Caenorhabditis elegans: one gene and its partner. The protein of the gene in region 2 purifies or fractionates together with the protein of the main gene of each other region. This does not show direct contact. Each region holds a gene or a part of one and is shown on either strand. Other genes may lie near its edges.

Region 1 (11,047 bases), on a different chromosome or scaffold from region 2:
CCGAGCAGGACGGGGCGAAGGAGGGTTGTTGAGGAGTTGAGACGAGCAACACAAAATGTATCCAATTTGGGCGAAAATTGACTTTTTTCTCTTTCTTTTTGCGGGTGGAACTTTAGGGAGGAGAGGACTATTCCTAGAAGAAATACGCACTCTTCGTGGCGAGACCCGCGAAATTTTATTGAAAATTGAGTTTTACAATAAAATAGTGGGTTTGAACAAATTTGAAATTCGCCACGAATGTAAATTTTTCAGAGGGTTTGATCTACCTGTCTACCTGTAATACATATCAGATATCGTAGTAAACTTTTTAAAATGAAAATTTGAAATTTTGATTCAAAAATTCAAATTCACCACGCTGTGAGCTTCAATTCAAGTATAGTCATGCCTAGGTTTCACTGAGAAAACTGGGTCCCACCGCGAAAACTACAGTACCCCATGTAGACACTTTCGTGACGGGACCCAAATCTAAAGGAACATAGCCAATATGGGGCTTAATTTGAAGCTCTTCGTTTGCTGAATTCAAATTTTATAATAAAACCCTTTAAAATCTACAAACAAAAAAAGTTATCTTGCAGAGAGAAGTAATTTCGATTCACATCGGACAAGCCGGAGTCCAAATCGGAAATGCTTGCTGGGAGCTCTACTGCCTGGAGCACGGAATTCAGCCCGATGGTCAAATGCCTTCTGACAAGTCCCTCGGAGGATCCGATGACTCTTTCAGCACTTTCTTCTCGGAAACTGGAAGTGGACGTCATGTGCCAAGAGCCGTCATGGTCGACTTGGAGCCAACTGTCATTGGTGGGGGATTTTTTTTAAGAAGATATTTTTGAATTTTCACTTAAATTTTTGAAATCAGTGTTAAAAGCCCGTTAAAATAAGTATAATCATGACTAGGTTCTGAAAATGCTGAAATTTTTGGGTCCCGTCACGAAAACGTATGTGGTACTGTAGCAATCTTACAGAGATGTTAAAAATTATTATTTTTGCGTAGTTCAGGACTTTACGCATTTATAACTTCTAATTTCCGCCCAAAACTTTAAGTTTTGGCACATTTATGGATTTTCGAAAAATTTCGAAAATCAAAAAATTTAAATTTTCAAAACGGCACAGCAATATTCCCAGTTTCACCGCAAGACCTAATTTTTTTGGTTTTCATATTTGGCATTTTGAGAACTTTCATTTGAATATGCAAACATAACTAAGCTATGAAAATTCTGAAGGGGTACTGTAGCTCTCGTGGCGGGACCAAACTTTTTTGGAAATCTGGTCATGATTATACGTATTTTGAAGGTGTCGGAAAGCTGAAAAAAATTTTAAAATTTTGAGTTAAAAGGTCTAACTTTATGACTTTTTGTGGTTCTGCGAAAAAACGCAATTGGAAAATTTTTGATATTAGGCTTCTCCGAAAACCCTAGAAAAACGTCACCAATTCCATTTCGGCTCAATTTTCAAAGAGCTCTTCCTCTTTTTGCTTCAAATGGCGAGCCCATTGTGATGTAATTAGACGCAGACACTACACATCTGCTAACATGAATGGATGTACTCTCTCCAAGAATTTAATGGAATTGGAGTAGGACACCCTATTAGGGATGCAAATGGAAAATGTTTTGCTATTTGACGGAGGAAATTTTGAACATTTTCAGAGAAATTTGGGGTATCTGAAAATACTATACAAAATTTCTCACATTTTGTTAGTTGAAACTTTTTTGATAGCTGTTTTCTACGCAGAGTTACAAACGTTTTAACGTGTCGTTGTAAAAGATCGTGGGAGAGAAAGAGACGCAGACAACGAGCGCGACTGCGTCTCCCCTCCCTCCACACTCTCTCACTGTTCTTACTTTAAACGCGTATATCTCCGCGATGAGGAGAGCTATCAAAAAGTTGACAACTACCAAGTTGTAGGAAATTTTGAGCTCTATAATATGTTAATAAACAATTTTTTATTAACTCAACTTCCGGCAAAGTTATAGGCGTTTCAAGTTAGTCTAGAAAATTTGTTTGTCGTTAGTTTTGCAACTAAAACCAAAAGTTCCATGTTCCATCAACTTCCCAAATAGACAAAGTATACTCTCGGGAGGAAGCTCATCTTCCCCTCTCACCAACAAACTTCTTCGTCTGCTATTCATATAAAAAAGAAGAAAAGATGAGAAAATGAAGGGAGGGAAAGGGATGAAGAACATTGGATATTCATCGAAAACCGAAACCGAAATAAGGAATTGGAATTGAATATTTGGGAGTGTTGGTGGCGGAGGAGAAGGATGAGGACACATAAAAATTCATTGAAAGATGAGAAAATGGGCAAAGAAATAAAAGTTGTGTATTTTCGTGGGGGATTTTGGGAGAAAATCTGAGAACTCTGCTAAAATCGAGAATATCTGAAAATTTAGGAACACTATCAAAAAATTGTCAACCCACAACTTATAGCCCTGAAATTTTCCTATATTTTGTTAGTTGAAACCTTTTTGATAGCTCTGCTCGTTGCGGAGATAGCGCCTTTCAAACTATACAGGCGTCAGTGAGTGTGGGGTGAGGGGAGACGCAGTGTGAGCGCGCCGTCTGCGTCTCTCCCCCTTCCACTATCTCTCGGTACTGTTGATTTTAAACGGGCATATCTCAGCGGGAAGTTGAGCTATCAAGAATTTTTTAAAGTACGAAATGTAGGAAATTCCAAGTACTATATTTTGATAGTATTGTAAAACTCTAAAAATTGAGAAAACTGAAAATTCTTCAAAAACAGGACTTCAAAACAGGTTTTTTTCCTACATGTGCTAAAGTGTTTTACTGAAAAGGCAAAATTACCAAAAATTAAATTCTAAGAACTGTTTGAAATACTTCAAATCTCCATAACGCAAAAATTATTTGTCAGATCGAAAACTAGTCAACCAACAAATTGTAGCGCTGAAAATTAACTATATTTTGTTAGTTGAAACCTTTTTCATAGCCTTACTCGTTGCGGAGATAGCGCCTTTCAAAGTTTACAGGTGCTAGAGAGTGTGGGGTGAGGGGAGACGCAATGTGCGCGCGCAGTCTGCGTCTCTCCCCCCTCTACACTATTTTGCCCTGTAAACTTCAAAAGTGTATATCTCAGCGTAGAAGAGAGCTATCAAAAAATTTTCAACTAAGGAAGTATTGCAAATTTTGAGGAGAACTCGAATTTTTATCAAAAAAAAATATTAAATTAAAAACAAAAATTTTCCAGACGAAATCCGCACTGGAACCTATCGCTCCCTCTTCCACCCGGAACAACTCATCACTGGTAAGGAAGATGCCGCAAATAACTACGCTCGTGGTCACTACACCATCGGAAAAGAAATCATCGACCTAACCCTTGACCGTATCCGCCGTCTAGCTGACAACTGTACCGGACTTCAAGGATTCCTAGTGTTCCACTCTTTCGGAGGAGGTACTGGATCCGGTTTCACTTCTCTTTTGATGGAAAGACTATCTGTGGACTATGGAAAAAAGGCCAAGCTCGAGTTCTCCATCTATCCGGCTCCTCAAGTCTCCACTGCTGTCGTAGAGCCATATAACTCGATTTTGACCACCCATACCACTTTGGAGCACTCGGATTGCTCATTTATGGTTGATAATGAGGTAAATACTGGATAAATATTTTTTTACAGAAATTAGCTTGTTAGTAACTGTAAATTACAACCATATTAACATAGTTAATGATATTTTTAAATTGAAAATTTTTTTTTTAAATATTTATTTAGCCCTATTCACTGGTTATGCCCTAGAATATGAAAATTTTTAAGACAAAAGTTTTTGAAAAGTCTCAAAATTTTGTATTTTATTTTCACACCTTAAATTTAAAAAAAATCAATACAATTTCAGATACCGAAAATTAAAATCTCAAAACTTTGCAAAATTCGAAAGTTCAAGCTTTTGAAATTAGAAAAACTGTAATCAGCTCACTCAGAGCTTCAATTTAACACCCATATTGACTCGGTTCCTGTTAGTTTGAAAATGTTCGCCCTTCGCGCCTTTAAAATCGTGGTGAGACCCAAAAATAAGAAAGGGCCGGAACCTAAGCAATATGGGGCTTATTTTGAAGCTTATAATTTGGGGACTGAGATTTTAATAGTTTCAAAGCCTATTGGCAGAAATTTTTATTAAAAATATTTAAATAGAAAAAAAATTGTCCGAAAAAAATTTTTTTTTTGATACTTCCAAAAAAAAATCCAAAAAATTTCCAGGCAATCTACGACATTTGCCGTCGCAACCTGGACATCGAACGTCCATCCTACACAAATTTGAATCGTCTCATCGGTCAAATCGTCAGCTCCATCACCGCTTCCCTCCGATTCGACGGAGCCCTCAACGTCGACTTGACCGAGTTCCAGACAAACTTGGTTCCCTATCCACGTATTCACTTCCCGCTAGCCACATTTTCTCCGGTTATCTCAGCGGAAAAAGCCTATCACGAGCAGCTATCAGTGGCTGAAATCACTAATATGTGCTTCGAGCCACATAACCAGATGGTCAAGTGTGATCCGAGACACGGAAAGTATATGGCAGTTTGTCTGCTTTTCCGTGGAGATGTAGTGCCAAAGGATGTGAATGCTGCAATTGCAACTATTAAGACTAAGAGAAGCATTCAATTTGTAGATTGGTGCCCAACTGGATTTAAGGTAGGTTTCTGAATAAATTTTATTTATTTTAATAATTTTAAATCTCAAAATTCGCCACGAAAAATTTATAAACACACATAAAAATACCGCCAAAAATTAGCCGAAAATCTTGAAAAAAGTGAAGTTGAGGTGTCTTGAACTTTTGTCAAAAACCCACAATTTCAGGCAAAAAATTGAAAATCTTAAGATTGTTCTATGAACTTTTTGGCTTTTAAAAGAATTTTTTCTTAAAAGAAAATTTTCTTTTTCTTACTTAATTCACAACGAGTCTCAGTTTACTTCATAAAATATTTTTTCTAATTTTGCTTTACAGTTTCAGCAAAAAATAAAAAAATATGCTGAAAATCTTGAAAATTATTGAAGTTATAGGGTTTTGAAATTTAAAAAACCCAGGAAATTTACTTTGTTTTCTTTTAATTTTTACATTTCTCAGATAATTTTCAAAGGACAAAATTAGGTAAAAAAAAATTAGCTAAAATCCTCAAAAACTAACAGAGTTATATGGTTTTGAAATTTTTCCAAAAAATATTAATTGATTATTTTTTCTAGTAATAATTTTTTCATAAAACAATTTTAGATTAATTAATAACAAAATGGGTCAAAAACGCATGCAATTTTAGTCAAAAAATAGCGGAAAATCTCTAAAATGAGTAATGTTATGCTGTTTTAAAATGTTGTCCAAAAAAAAAGCTTTTCAATTTACTCGAAAATTTTCACAGAACAATTTCAGATTATTACATATCAAAGTGCTCCAAATAAATTTCTACAGTTTCAATAAAAATTTAACTGAAAATCTTTAAGTAACAAAGTTCAGGGGTTTCGAGTTTTTAAAAAATGTTCTGTCACCTTTTTTTTGTTGATAATTTTAAAAAGTTTTCAATCTTGAAAATAAATTATTTCTACTTTTAGATTATTAAATATTGATAAAGTATAAATATTTTCTACATTATTTAAAGGTTTTTTTTTTAATTTTCTCCAAAAAAAAAGTTTCACAGAACAATTTTAGATTGCTATGTAGCCTATAGCAAAACCGTCCAAAAATTTGTTTTTTACCTAATTGGCTGAAAATCTTAAATTGGAAGAGAAATTAAAATTACAACATATTTTCAAAAAGAAAAAAAAACAATTTGCCCTCACTTCACTTTTTTCCTTTTTTTTTAATTCTCAAATAATTGTGTCCTTCCAAGAAACAGGAAAACTAATAAAACGTCATTCATGTTTACCCTCTATCATCTTTACCACACATTTCGTCAAAGTAAATTTTAGTTGTGAGAAAAATATTTCGATTTCGAAAAACACTACCTAGAATTGACAAAAATAACACATTTAACTAACTCCCACAAAATATAGCCCATAAAAATTCCTTTATTTTGATAGTTTAACTTTTTTTGTAGCTCTTCTCCCCACGGAGATATGCGCTTCCAAAGTTTAGACAGCGAGAGAGTGTGGGAAGAGGTGAGACGCCGACTGCACGCGCAGTCTGAGTCTCCTCTCACCCCACACTCTTTAGTCACCTTCACCTTGAAACGCTGATATCTTGGCTGGGAAAAGAGATATTTAAAAACTTTTAACTAATGAAATGTTTGAAATTTTAAGGGCTATATTTCAAATATAAAAGTTAATTGATAAAAATACTGTTATAGCTATAATACTGCTTTCAGGTCGGAATCAACTACCAACCACCAACGGTAGTCCCAGGAGGTGACCTGGCAAAGGTACCCCGTGCCGTGTGCATGCTCTCCAACACCACCGCAATCGCTGAAGCCTGGGCTCGTCTGGACCATAAATTCGACCTAATGTATGCGAAGAGAGCATTCGTCCACTGGTATGTTGGTGAAGGAATGGAGGAAGGAGAATTTAGTGAGGCTCGTGAAGATTTGGCTGCTCTTGAGAAGGATTATGAGGAAGTCGGTGTGGACAGTATGGAGGATAATGGAGAAGAAGGAGATGAGTATTAGAATATAAAAATAGATCTTGACCCCAAAAAACTCCCCGCTTTTATGATGTGAATTTCCCCAAACTTTAATTATGCTTTGTCTGCCAATTGCTATGCTTCATTTTCTTGAACTTTTACTATTTTCTTTACTACAACGATCAATAAACTTGTTCCAACGGCCTCCATCTTTCACTTTTCAAAAAACAAATACAAGCAGCTTATAGCCCTTAAAATTCCCTATATTTCGATAGTTGGAAATTCGTTCATAGCTGGTCCCTACACCGAGATATACGCGTTCAAAATTTACAGATGCTAGAGAGTGTGGGGTGAGGGGAGACGCAGTGTGCGCGCGCCGCCTGCGTCTCCCCTCCCCATACACTCTCTTGCTGGCTCTGACTTCGAAGGCGCATATCTCAGCGGGGAGAAGAGCTATTAAAAAGTTTTCAACTAACAAAATATGGGAAATTTCAAGGGCTACATTGTGAGTTAAAAAAAATTTTGCTAGCTGCTATAGTTTTTGACACAGCTGTTTTTATGGAAAAATTCATATTTTTAAGCTATAAAAACATTATCAATTCTCAGTTTTTCGGTGCATCCGGTTGATTGTTGGGATGAGCCACTTGAAACTCTGGCAGCTCCGCTAGCTTATTGGAGATTCGAGTAATTATTGGGTAGGGCGTCATGTCCACGTGGTATCTGGCAATTTTTTTTTGAACAAAAATGTGCTTTTTTAAATAATTTTTCCTTACTTTTCTATAGCATTATACACAATTGATGGAAGACAAATATCAGCGATAGAAATTTGATTTCCGACGCAAAAATCTCCAGAGTGCATTTGCAGGAGCTCTTCGAGAGCCTTGAATCCTTTGCTGATGAAGTGTTGGCACCACTGGAAAAATTCACTTTTTAAAGAATTTTTTATTGATTTCTTGAAGTTAAGAGTATAAAAGGAAAAATTAATTCAATTATCGAATTCAGTGCATTAAGAGCTTAAAAAAGTATAATTATAAAAAGTATTATAAATATATAAAAAGTATAATACACAATAGCTACCGCAACCCTGAGGGGTTTCGTGGCAAGACCCCAATATGGGTATCATCTTGAAGCTCTTGGTGAGCTGAATATAAAATTCGTATTTGAAAATCTAAAAAGTTAGGTCTCGACGAGGAAACTGCGAAGTTTTTTTTTTCAAAAAAAAAAAACAAATTTTTATATAAATTTTTTTGGAATTTTTTTTAGAAATTGCTTTAAATTTTCAGATTTTTAGGAATTTTTTTACACCTACAAATACTAACTACTCTATAAAATTTTTTTTGAACTCACAAAATCCCCATAGCCGGGCTCTTTCTCATTGAGCATCAGGTAGATCGGCTTGTTTTGCAGAGGCTGGATATTTGAGGCGATCTGAAATTTTTCTATTATAGCAAAATCGAGAAATTATTTCTGGTCTCACCGCGAAAACAAACCTACCTATTTTGTGGGGGTCTTGGTGAACTTAATTCGAATTTTAAAAATTTTAATACGAAAATAACACAGTTTAATATGTCTATAAATGCAACAAACATACATGAAAAGCAATAGCTCTCGCGCGAGCTTTGAGCTCGGGCTCTTTCGGCAAAAGTGGTGGGTCTGGGTAGATTTCATCGAGATATTCGATTATTGCCATGCTTTCTGTCAGAGTTAGACCGTTGATTTTCAGAATTGGAACTTTTTCCGCAGGATTGTTCCCATGGAATTCTTGCTGAAAATGGAAAAACTTGGAGTTAGGAGCAAAATTTAAAATTTACCTCTTTCTGTTTGTTCAGCAAGTTCACGGGTTGATATTCATAGTCGATCTTTTTCAGAGCAAGAGCTGAAAAAATTTAAAAAAATCCCATATTTTTTTTTGTCTTCTGAAGTTCAGTTACCTGCTTAGATATAGACCTCAAAAATTCCTATATTTTGTTAGTTAAAATTTTTTCGATAGCTCTTCTCCCCGCTGAGATATGCGCGTTTTAAGTTTAGGCAGCGAGAGAGTGTGGAGGGAGGGGAGACGCAGGTGGCACTAGTTGTCTGCGTCTCTCCCCCTTCCACAATGTTTCTTCACGTCAACTTTAAAGGCGCATAACTCTGCCGAGGAAAGAGGTACGAAAAAGTTGTAAACTGGCAAAATATAGCCCTTAAAATATCCAACATTTTGTTGATTGACAATTTTTGATAACTTCGCACTCTGCAGAGATATGCGCCTTTGAAAATTAGACAGCCTCTGCGTCTCCCCTCCCTCCATACTCTCTCACCTTCTTGACTTTAAAGACGCATAGTTCAACAGTAAATCAGGATTTACAGATTTTTTTTTGGAAAACTCACCAGTTCTAACTCTTGACGAACATCCTGAACTCCAAGAGGAGTACAATATAGGTTTTGCTGCCATTTTCTAAAGAAAGTCAATGTGTTTGTGACAATTTTGGAGAAAAGTGATAGTGATGAATGATAATGAATGATAAAGGTCAATAACATGTTTAGGTGAGAAATCGGTGATGTTTGGTAGCAAAACACAAGGTGTAATGATGTTTTAGGTGTAACTTTGCAATGAAGAAAGTTATCAAAAAAATTGTTGACTATTAAAATATAGCCCTTGAAATTTCCTATATTTTATTGGTTGACAACTTTTTTTTAACATTGATAGAAACAGAGATACAAAGGGCTGAAACTGCACGGGTTGTTGCCTGCGTCGCTCCCCGCCCATTCAGTACTTCTTTTTTCAAACGTTAATATCTCTGCTAGGAAAACTGTTCTAGAAAAGGTGCAAACTGAAAAAATATAGCCCTTGAAATTTCCTATATTTTATTAGTTGACAACTTTTTCTAAGTTTTTTTCCCTGCAGAGATATGTATCTTTGAAAATTTGTAGGTGAAAGAACGCGCAAATTTTTTGATGTCTAACTTGTGCCCAATTTCTTACCACAAAACATATTCTGATTATGTTCTCTGACCTGATGTTTGCTCATATCTTATTTTTTCAAATAATACTGGTTTCTAGTTGGAGGCCCCGAAACGTTAAGAAAAAAAATTTTAGGAAAAAAAAAATTGACTTTGATCATTGCCTCCTTATCAGTTTTAACGTACATTCCATAATTTCTTAACATTTTCTTATCACTAAGTGACTAAGTTTGCTCTGAGAGCACATTTTCAGCTAGCAAACCTACATTTTCTTACAATTTTCCCTCGAAATTGTAATTTCGAAACTCTTAAACGGGTAACAATCGAACAAGAATCAAAATTTTAACCAAATTTTAACAATTCAATGTAGCCCTCAAAATTTCCTATATTCTGTCAGTTAAAAACTTTTTATTTCTCTTCTCTCCGTTGAGATATCCGCCTTTAAAATTGACGCCATAAAATAGTGTAGAAGGGGGAGAGACGGAGACAGCGCGCGCTGCCTGCGTCTCCCCTCCCTCCACACTTTCTCGCTGCCTAAACTTTGAACGTGCATATCTCCGCGGGGAGAAGAGCTATCAAAAAACTTTTAACTAACAAAATATAGGAATTTTAAATGGTTATATTTTGTTAGTTGAAACTTTTTGAAAATCTCTCTTAGATTTTGAGATATTTCGGTTTCAACAAAGAATCACTGAAAATCGCTTTTGGATTTGAAATAAAGCTATTTTGGTTCAGGAAATGAAGCATTTTAGGAGAAAACCGCATGATATATTAGAGGACCACATTTTGATCTTTCAAATATTGCTTCCGGCAGATTTATACATTTTTATATATTTTTGTGGATGATTTCAGGGAGATTCAATTTTTTCCAGTTTTTGTAGATAATTTTAATTGCCCCATTCAAAAATGACTAACCAAACTTCCAAAAAACCAAAAAAAAACAAGAGACGATACGCAGAGTACACTGCGATAACATCTGCGTCGTCGTCTCTCTCCACACATTTTGAGAGACCGAGCGACGAGAGAGTGACAATTTGTGAAGAGAGTGGTGAGACGACGAGACACTATCGAATCGCCACCCCCCACACGGACGTATTATACAAGCAAAAAGCCACGTTTTGAATGGCTTAAATCGATTATAAAGTTGACAAACTGCTTGGTTTTTAGTCTTTTTCTTGAGTTTCTTATCGATTTTAAAGGAAATTTGTGGATTTTTATTGGTTTTTAAACAGAAACTAATAAATGCATTGAATTTTTCACTATTAAATGGCTGAAATTGCTGAAACAAACTTTTCCGCTCGAGACCCATACGATAAAACTGCCCCATGCTCCTTTAAATCCACAGTACCACTTTTTTCTTCTTTTTCTTTGGTTTTCTTGTTTTTTCTGTTTTTTTAAAGAAAAATATAAAATAGATGTTTTCCGATGAGTTTATGAAATAAACCCAATTAAAACTAATAGTTTATCAATTTTTAAGCAAGAGGTTTTTTAAGCTCGCTTAAAATGTCAAAAAATAAAATTTCCACTCGAGACCCATCATACAAAATTGTGTGATGCGC
Region 2 (9,321 bases):
GATAAATTTAGAAAATATCCATGAAGTCAAAGTTTTAGATAGTCCTCACAAAAACGAATTCTGATTATTTTTCTCCGGTTTTAGACATTCCATTGTTCATTCAGGGTATCATCATTCAAAAACTCGGTGAGAATCCGAGAATTCATTTTTTCAAATAAAGTTATTTGAGTTTTTTCCACCGTACGAACAGAAGAAACATAAAAAGACAAACAACGGTTCTATTTAACTAGTAATCGAGAGAAAGGGATGTGCGGCCGTTTTTGAAGTTGAATACAAATATATCTTACAAACATGTGTGCTGTAGACAGATTTCTGGGCTTTTGCTAGTCTTTCAGTCAAAAAATTCAAAGTTTTTTGATGGCAGAAATCTTTGACAAGCTTTAATTTTCTGATAAATTCTCTGAAAATCTGTAAATCTTTTCAGTTCCACGAAGCGGGCTTTGAAAGATAATCTGGATTTTTTTTCAGAAAAACATTTTCAGATTTGGATCAAAATATCATTTTTCAACTTCTAGCACAGTTATAGCAGATTTCTAGCAGTTAAGAAATCGGAAAGTCTTGGGCTTACAATTGGCTTAGGCTCAGGCTTAGGTTTAGGCTTAGTCTTAATCTTAAGCCATGGCTTAGGTTTAGGCTTAGGATTGTATGCGGGCTTGAATTCGGGCATAGGTTTTAAGCCTGCATTGCGCCTACCTACCTCTAAATTTGGACAAAAAAATCACAGCAACCGACCTTTTCTGGGTTCCGCGGCGCATTAAAAAACTGCATATATAAGAACATCCTGGTAGGCACGGTTGTAGGCACGAGGTATGCGTAAGGCGCCTTGTTGGCAGGCAGGAAGTTTTGTGCCTAAATTTAGATCTCAGAATTGATAAAATCTATTTAGTCTAGACTTAATTCATTTGAAAATGCAAAAAAAAATTCCAGCGTCAAAAAAAATTTATCAAAATTTGATCTTTGAGTTGCAAAAAAATGCCAAGTTATTAAATAGAACACCATTCTCTTTACTTTCTCTCCTCTTTTTTTCATTTACTTTCACTTGACACCACAGGTTTTGTTTGTTTATTTCTATCAATAGAGCCCACAGAAAAGAGCTCAAAAAGTTTATTGAAGCTAAGCCGTCATTTCTCAAAAGTCGTATTTCTAGAACTGCATTATTTTCTACAAAAGAGATACTCAACAATGAAGGTATTCATTATGGTTTTGTGACAAAAATCTGTGTGTTTCTCTTTTTGAATGTAACTAGCTTACCGCGATAAAGTGAAGCGGATTAGTGAACGGCATTGTCCCACTTTTAGCCTTCCAAACCATTCGATATATTCATATAATTCATGCCCATTGACTTCGAATATTTTCTCATGAAAGTTCGCAACACGTATCGTCATCATTATGAGCCGGTGGGTTAAGCTTATTCACTATTTGTTTGCTTAGAATTTGTCATTTGAGATTTGTCATGGATTGGGGACTGGTTTCAGGTTGCCACCTTGAGCAATATAAACTCCTCACCGTTCTTTTTGTTTTTGACACTTTCACTTCGTTTTGAAAATTCTCTGGTAGGCGTAGGTTACCTTAAAGATGGACTAGGTGTAGACCTAGGCAAGTATGCCTGTAGGCAGGCGAGTAGGCATTTTTGTGATCATTTTTTGACATATATGATAATTCTTGAACTGTTTCCTACATATAACTGCTATGAAAAATAATCTTAAAACTTCTGGTATTTCTATTGGACAAAATACTTCTTCTTGAACGTCACTAGTCTACAGGAAGTTATGGGCCGAACCTTTCAAGCTTCAGTCGGCCTGAAAAGTTTTTTTGAAACCACTCGTGACGAGAAATTTACATAGCACATTAAAAAAATTCGGTGGGAAATTCGAACTTATTTTTGTTAGTTTCAATTTTTAAATTAGCCAATTTAAGAAAATTTTTTATTTGGGGACATGAGACACCGAATCCCATAAATACACGCTAATTATATTTTAAAATACCGAAAATTCTTAAAATTCCTGAAAATTTATCTCACAGTTTCCGTTTCTCTATAACGAGTTCCGCCCTTTTCGTTTTCAATACCAACTAACTGTATCCGCGCTAAAATGTATTAAGTATTAGTCACAGTAAATGTCCAGTAAAATAACTGGAACCCATCAAATCCATTTTTCCAACCAATCAACACACCAACACCACTTATAACCCACCCAAAAAGTGTTCATTTTCTCGTTCTTTTCCAGTAGATTGAGAGAGGGGGACTAATTGTAGTTGACGACTAGTGGTGGTGACCATCATCTACTCTTCCACACACATTTGAATGACGAATAATCCTGACCGTCGTCCTCTAGCCCTTTCCACTCATTTTTTTCTATTCAATTCGTTTCGGTTTTCTGTATTTTCCCCCATTCATCCCCTCATACACAAAACAATTTTCGTTTCGATCCGCTCTTCGATCATGCGATTTTTTTTTTTTTTTCATATTTGTATTGATTGAAAAGACATCGGTGTCCTAAAAAGTTTCCAAGAAATTTGGAAATTTCAAAAACAAAATTAAATTTTTGAGCAGTTGAAAAAAATCATAGTTGCAAAAATCCTAAATCCGAATTAAAACGTAATTTTCAAGTGCGCGCACAAATTCGGAGTTTTTTACTTACAATTAATTTTCACAACTTCCAAGAACTTTAATAAACCCTTCACATGAGGAAGTGAGCATTTCAAACCATTTGAAAAACATGAGAATAAGTGCATATAAATGTGTCAATACTCTCGACACCTCACTTGAATTGAAAACTACAAGTGTTCTCTCTCTTCACTCGAAACCAGTGATTCATACGATCGTTATGGTTTCGTGTGTTTATTAGATTAAGTATCTTTCAATTATAAATTAATGTTTCCTTTTCCTTTTTTTGGCAAATTTTGGTCACTTGAATGTTCAGTTTCATTTTTTGCCAATCATCTTTTCTAAACGTCTTATTGCCAGTTGATTTTTCCAATTTTTTCAAATCTTCCAGTACGTCACAAAAAGATGCATGAAACTCAAAAGTTTTCGGAGTGTTTGATCGCTAGAGATTTCCTATAAAACCCACATTACTTTCAACAAAATGTGTTAAACTCTCAGCTGGGCCTCTCGAAAGTTCCCGTTTTTTTGGGGTTTAGTGTATTTTGGCATGTGTTTAGATCATTTTCTTGCCATAAAGTTTTCATTAAGCTCCAGGCATGTGTGCTTACCTACATACATACCTCGAACCTGTCTGGCCTACTTCAGGAGTTTGTTGGCACGAGGTAGGCCTAGATTGCCTTGAAGGCACACCGGCAGGCATCTTCTGTTGCTGATGTCACTAGGCTTCTCCTTTCACACTTACTTTAACCCCCATTTCCTGCTTAACCATTCATATATATGTATAATACAGTGAAAAACCTCCCAACCATAAAAAGTTAATCATCATCACTGTAAAAAAAAATTGACAAAAAATCCAGTCCCATCTATTTCCTCCATCATCTCTAAATCGCGTATTACCGAATATTCGCATCATATAGACCGTGTCGTGTTTTTTTTCTATGTTGGAAAGGATAGGGATTGATGTACTTATGTATAATGGGGGAAACGAGACTCGAGATTTTTTTTATTCGCTTTTGTTTTTTACAGTTTTCACTGTTTTGTAGGGAATTTCAATGTTATTTTTTTAATACTAAGTTACAAAACTATAGAAAAAATTGAAATTTATTTTTTCAGCTGACAATTTTCAATCAAAACTAAAGACAAGGTGCATCACATTTCTAGGACCCACATTTCTTATAAGTTTCTCAAAACAATTAAAGTGGATGTCTTCCACACAAAACTGCTTCCACGTCGTTTCCATATGGTTTTTCATCGTCTGTATAAGCCTGCACTGCATTTTTTCCCACACAAAACTCCAAACTTCCCCAATTCTTTCTTGTTTCTGTGCCATTAGCCTTGACAATTCCAGATTTTAGAACAATGCAATCAGCGGCGAATCGGAATCTGTAATATTTGATTTTTTATGATTTCACGCTATTTGATAATTATGTCTAATTTACATTGGACCATTGTCAGCTTGATGAACCATATAAGCAGCTGGAAGTCGACGTTTGTAATGGCTCAGCATGAATGTAGTGTCACTATTGACATCATCGAACAAAAATAGATTATTCTTGATATTACAATCTCCTTTTTCTTCTGTACTGTTGAATCGATGACGAAGTATGATTTCGACTTTATTAATACGACCGTTGCATTTTGGAGAAATTTGACCGTCAACAGCATAAGGAGCTTCAATTCCATGAGCTCGGGCGATTTCTGAAAGTTTTTGAAGATTACAACACTGAAAATGTTTTTATTGAAAAATATCCCTACCAGAAAACACTTGAATCTCGTGCTCATTTTCTGGAATGGTCAATGAAGCGTTCACATAACTGCAAAATGATCGAGCTCGGTCTCGGTTTCCCATGTTCTTGAATTGGAAAACCTGAAATATGGTCATAAAGCATTATGAACACAAAACCCAAAACTTGGAACTTACGCCCAAACACCAGTCCTTTGTATGATTGTTCCTTGCAGTTGGGACTCTCTTGACATGAGAAAACCCTTCTGGGCATTGTGGATCCTTTGCGAAAACCGCAGTCAAAAATAGCAAAAAGAAAACGAACATTTTTCTGTCAGTTTTGAAAAGTTTCGGCGGGGTTTTGTACCTATTGAAATCGATAAAATTGTGACTAAGCCATGCGGAGCCATTATTTTCCGACAGCATTTGATCGTTTCAACAAAAGCGTGATGTTCAACAACACCCACAAAATGCTCTACCGTAGTATTTATTCTTCTAAACATTTTGATTTGGACGTAGCAGATGCTTGTTGTACCTATTTTCTTGAGGTTTATCATAAATTATACATTATAAATTTACTCTAAAAGTTTTCCGGAAGCCAAAAAAGAGATAATGTAGAGCTCTCCGATTTTTCTTGACACAGAAAATAGGAAGCTTTGAGAAATTTTTTACAATTTTTAGGCCGTATTATCAACAAGATGGAACTTAAAAACGAAAAGTTCGAGACGAAAGTTAAGATGAATTAATTGACTTTTAGTTTACAAAAATGGTATACACACTTGTCAAAACTCTGTAAAAGGAAATGTTTCGTTGCGAAAATGATTTAATTGTAAACCCGCACAGGGATTTTCGTCGCCTAAGAATAACCTGAAGTTCACTTGCGGAAACAAATTGGGTGTACCTTATCTTTTCAATCAGCTAAGGTAATAAGAAATATCAGAAAGATTTCGGAAATATAATATTTATTAAATATTGAAAATTAATCTTTCCAGAAATGATAGAATACATTTACTTAGAACGGCAATCGGCCACAAAGAACGGCGGTGACATTTTTTTCTGGTAGCCTCTTGGAGCCAGCTAGCTGTCCCATACAATCCATCAAATTAGTGTGCCCATCTTTTAGTGTTCCATTAGAATAGTGATACGATCCTTTTTCCAAAACGGTACAATCTGCTGTACTGCGATACCTGAAAATGAAATGTTGGATGCAAATAGGAAAGTCGATTTTCAAAACTTACTCGATATCATCATCAGCTTGTACACTTCTTACGTTTGATCCTGCCGAAACACCTAGCTTTGTGCGAATGAATGAAGTATCCGTATTAATATCATCATATATGAACAATTCATATTTAATATTGCAAATTCCTTCTTCAGAAGTTTGATTAAATCGTTTTGCACCCTTTACTTGTCCTTTGTAAATTGCGAATTTGCATCTTGGAGAGAGTTGTCCATCAAGAGCGATTGGTACGGAAATGTTTCTCAAGCTAGCAGTCTCTGGAAATTTTACATTTTTCCGCATGCAGCAATAAAAAAATCCTCAAAAACTTACTAGAAATCACTTCGAGTTCGTGTGAATTTTCTGGAATACTCAACGACGCATTGTAATAGATACATACTGAACGGGCTCGGTCGCGATTTCCCAGATCCGTTTCATTGAAAATCTTGAAATATCATTTTAAAACTATTTAGGTGTCATTGATATGAACAACTTACCCCCAAGCACCATCCCTTTGTAAAGTTATTTTTTGCCGTCGGTGTTCTCTTGAAATACGTAAAGTTTCCCGGGCATCTTGGATCCTTCGCAGAAAATTCTGGGACTGCCAAAAATAGTAGGAATAGAACTAACATTTTATACTGAACTTCATAGAAGGCTTTCAGCATGCTTTTGTACTAGTCAAAAGCTATAAAACAGTTGTTCGCCCCCTGTAGCGTTTCCGATTCTGCGGAGCCATTATTCCCCGAATACATCAAAATGATACTGTATCTCGGGGCTGGATAGCGGAAACGACGCATTATATTTCTTCATCAGGTTGGATGATTTCATTCAAAGAAATTCTTATATAACACGTAGGTTGATAGAAGTTGTCAAGAATATTGAAACCATGCGCTTTGAAACAAAAAAATATCTGATCTAATAAAGATTCTAACAAAAGTACCCTCATTTTCAGCCCTTTTATCAAAAACATTTAACACCAAAACTGTAGAGAAATTTGTAACACATTCTTTGTCAGCTTATAATTTTTGGTAAAACAAAACACAACCTAGTTATTAGCCGTCAAAATTGAGCAACTGAGTGCAAGCCTATGACTAACATAAGGCCCTCTTGCTTGTTATGATACCTATCCAAAAATTTATGTACACAAACATTTGTGGTTGAAAACAAGACTTTGAAGCTAGATTTTTTAAAACCAAGCTTTTGTCGGCTTCCGAGGTAGAATATAAAATGATTTACAAGAATAAGTTTTTTTTTGATTTCAAGCTTCGAAACTCTTGATTTGTTACAGGGTAGTTTACTTTTAAAATAGTCCTGTCTCTGTAAATTTTGAAATATGATTAGCTCCAATCTTTAGCTATCAAAAAATACTTATTATGAAAATTATGCATATCCTCGACTGATGTTTGTTGCAAAATTGGTATTTTCTGATATAATCACAAGTGATGAATTCGAACAACAACTCCAAAATATTTATTAACAACTGTCTTTTCTGATCAATTAACTCAGAGAGGGAATCTTCCACAAAGAACACTACTATATTCGTGTTTATTTTGCTTATCCTTTTCCCCAAAGCATCCGAGCAATTCAGTTCGTCCATCTACCGCATAGAAATGTGTTCCATTAGAAAAGTAATAGTATGCATCTGTTAATGCGTTACAATCTCTGGTGAAACGAAATCTGTAAATTGAATTCTAGACTTGTTTGACGTTGAATCTAGAAATTTTCATACACTTACTTTACTCCGTCCTCCTGACTGGAGTATCCTCCATTAGTTCCAGCCGAAGTACCTAGTTTGGAACGGATAAATAAAGTATCTGTATTGATATCATCATATACAAACAAATGATTGTTAATATTGCAATCTCCTTCCTCTGTTCTTTGGTCAAAATATTGTTGGCTCTGTTCGCCTCTGAAAATAAGGGCCTTGCATCTTGGAGAGAGTTGTCCGTCGAGTGCAATCGGGAGGGAAATGTTCCGTGCGCGAATAACGTCTAAAAATTAATTACACATTTAGAAGCATATTTTTCCTAGCGATTTTGAATTGAAGACATGTCTTTAAAAAAAAACATGATCAACTTACCAGAAACAATCTCAAGTTCATGTGAATTTTCTGGATTGCTCAGCGAAGCGTTATGATAGAGACAGACTGAGCGGGCTCGGTCACGATTTCCCACATCCGTTCCATTGAAAATCTTGAAAGTGTATTTTAAAACTGGGTACTGTCTCTATCAATAACGTACCCCCAAGCACCACCCCTTTGTAAAATTATTCTTAAAAGTTAGTGTTCTTTTGACAAAAGTAAAGTTTTTTGGGCATCTTGGATCCTTTGCAGAAACCGCCGGAACAACCAAGAATAGTAAGAATAAAACTAACATGTTATGAAGAGTTCAAGAAGAAGCTTTCAGTATGCTTTTGTACTAGTCAAAAGCTATAAAAAAGCTGTACATCCCTTCAATGATTCCGTTTCTGCGGAACCATTATTCCCCGAATACATCAAAATGATACGGTATCTCGGGGGCTGGGCGGAAATGACGCATTTTATTTTTCTACCTATTTTTCAACTTTTTCTAGAGGGAAAATTTTTTATAACACAAAAAAAATCGAGTCATGATATACATTTTCAAACTAGGCATACATTGTAAGAACAATTTATATTGTGCCTCGAGGACAGATTTCTCTGAAAAATCTTCAAAAAATTCAAAAATTGTTTATACATTTGGCACTAGTTAAATAATTTTATACTGGAGCACATCCACACAGAACTCCGAAGAATGGCACCTCGCCGACTTGTTTGTCTGGTTCTTCGCCGCACCTGAAATTTTTTTAGTTTTGGGTTTGAAAATCCTGCAAAAAAAAAACTCACAAAAAATCCTTCAAATTTCCAGTATTCTTGATTGCCTGGAGATTATGTAGAGATAGACATTCAGCGATTGTGAAAATTTCTCTGAAAACTAGAACATGAAGCTTTTATCCCACTGGGTTCCTTACGTAGAGTCCCCCTTCTCCTGATACTTGTCTGATGAAGTTGGCGGTTCTCCAGACCACTTTGTGAGAATGAACGCTGGATCGGTGTGATCGTCCTCCAGAATAAATAGCTAAAACGATCGGGATACTTGAAACACACTTTTCGAAACAAAAACCTCTTTTTCTTTTGCGCAAAGTCCTCCAAACTTTCTCATTCGCCAGTCGCTGAAACCTCGGCATTTTGGATTGAACACTCCGTCCACTGCGACTCGTTTATTGTTTTTTCGAATTAAAGCTGAAATTTGTGTTCAGTTTTAACTTGCCTAAAAGTTGTTTGTCAGTTTCTGTCGGCTTTGTTGTGCCTTTTAGCATTTACATTCAATAACAATGACGTTGCATTTACATAATTTGTTTGATAAATGATAACAGTGATTGGCTTTAAGCATGTTAGTAAATACATAACTTTCAGAAAAGTTTTAGCCGCCGGCTCTATTTTTTCACATTTTCCAAATTTTTCAAAAAACCAGAAAATTCGCTTTCCAAAATAGTACGAATGCTAATCGCTGCCTCCAGGTGTTTGTTCAGCTTGCGAGAATTTGTAAAATGGCATCACGCCGATCGTATTTTTAATAAGAGACGAGAAGGGCGGGTAGGCCCTATTCTACTTGTCTGCCTACAGGCCTACTTACTGTCTTCTTTTTTTGTCATTTGAAGTATTTAGTTTCAGTAAAATTTAGAAAAAATTCCACGTAGAAAAACAGCATGTCTACAAAAAAATTTTCGTCACAACCGAAACCCTTCTATTAGATT

Evidence for each region.
Region 1: the proteins of clec-136 (region 2) and Y53G8B.1 fractionate together in Caenorhabditis elegans (co-fractionation; one large-scale study listed by BioGRID). This does not show direct contact.

What each region holds. Positions count from the first base shown.
Region 1 is NC_003281.10:3,127,278-3,138,324, reverse strand, and holds Y53G8B.1 (maleylacetoacetate isomerase), read right to left. Parts: upstream 9,049-11,047; 5' UTR 8,981-9,048; coding exon 8,917-8,980; intron 8,423-8,916; coding exon 8,358-8,422; intron 8,312-8,357; coding exon 8,138-8,311; intron 7,975-8,137; coding exon 7,894-7,974; intron 7,460-7,893; coding exon 7,320-7,459; intron 7,267-7,319; coding exon 7,149-7,266; 3' UTR 6,676-7,148; downstream 1-6,675. Other genes in the region: mec-12 (Detyrosinated tubulin alpha-3 chain), read left to right, coding at 576-798, 3,200-3,594, 4,200-4,634, 6,296-6,592.
Region 2 is NC_003280.10:4,611,879-4,621,199, forward strand, and holds clec-136 (C-type lectin domain-containing protein), read right to left. Parts: upstream 4,666-9,321; 5' UTR 4,656-4,665; coding exon 4,527-4,655; intron 4,473-4,526; coding exon 4,361-4,472; intron 4,304-4,360; coding exon 4,045-4,303; intron 3,989-4,044; coding exon 3,799-3,988; 3' UTR 3,696-3,798; downstream 1-3,695. Other genes in the region: putative membrane protein F35D11.3, read left to right, coding at 1-64; pqn-35 (Prion-like-(Q/N-rich) domain-bearing protein 25), read left to right, coding at 1,183-1,188; clec-137 (C-type LECtin), read right to left, coding at 5,341-5,515, 5,567-5,825, 5,881-5,992, 6,045-6,212; clec-138 (C-type LECtin), read right to left, coding at 7,050-7,224, 7,283-7,538, 7,628-7,739, 7,788-7,922; clec-139 (C-type lectin domain-containing protein), read right to left, coding at 8,284-8,359, 8,411-8,491, 8,536-8,642, 8,688-8,806.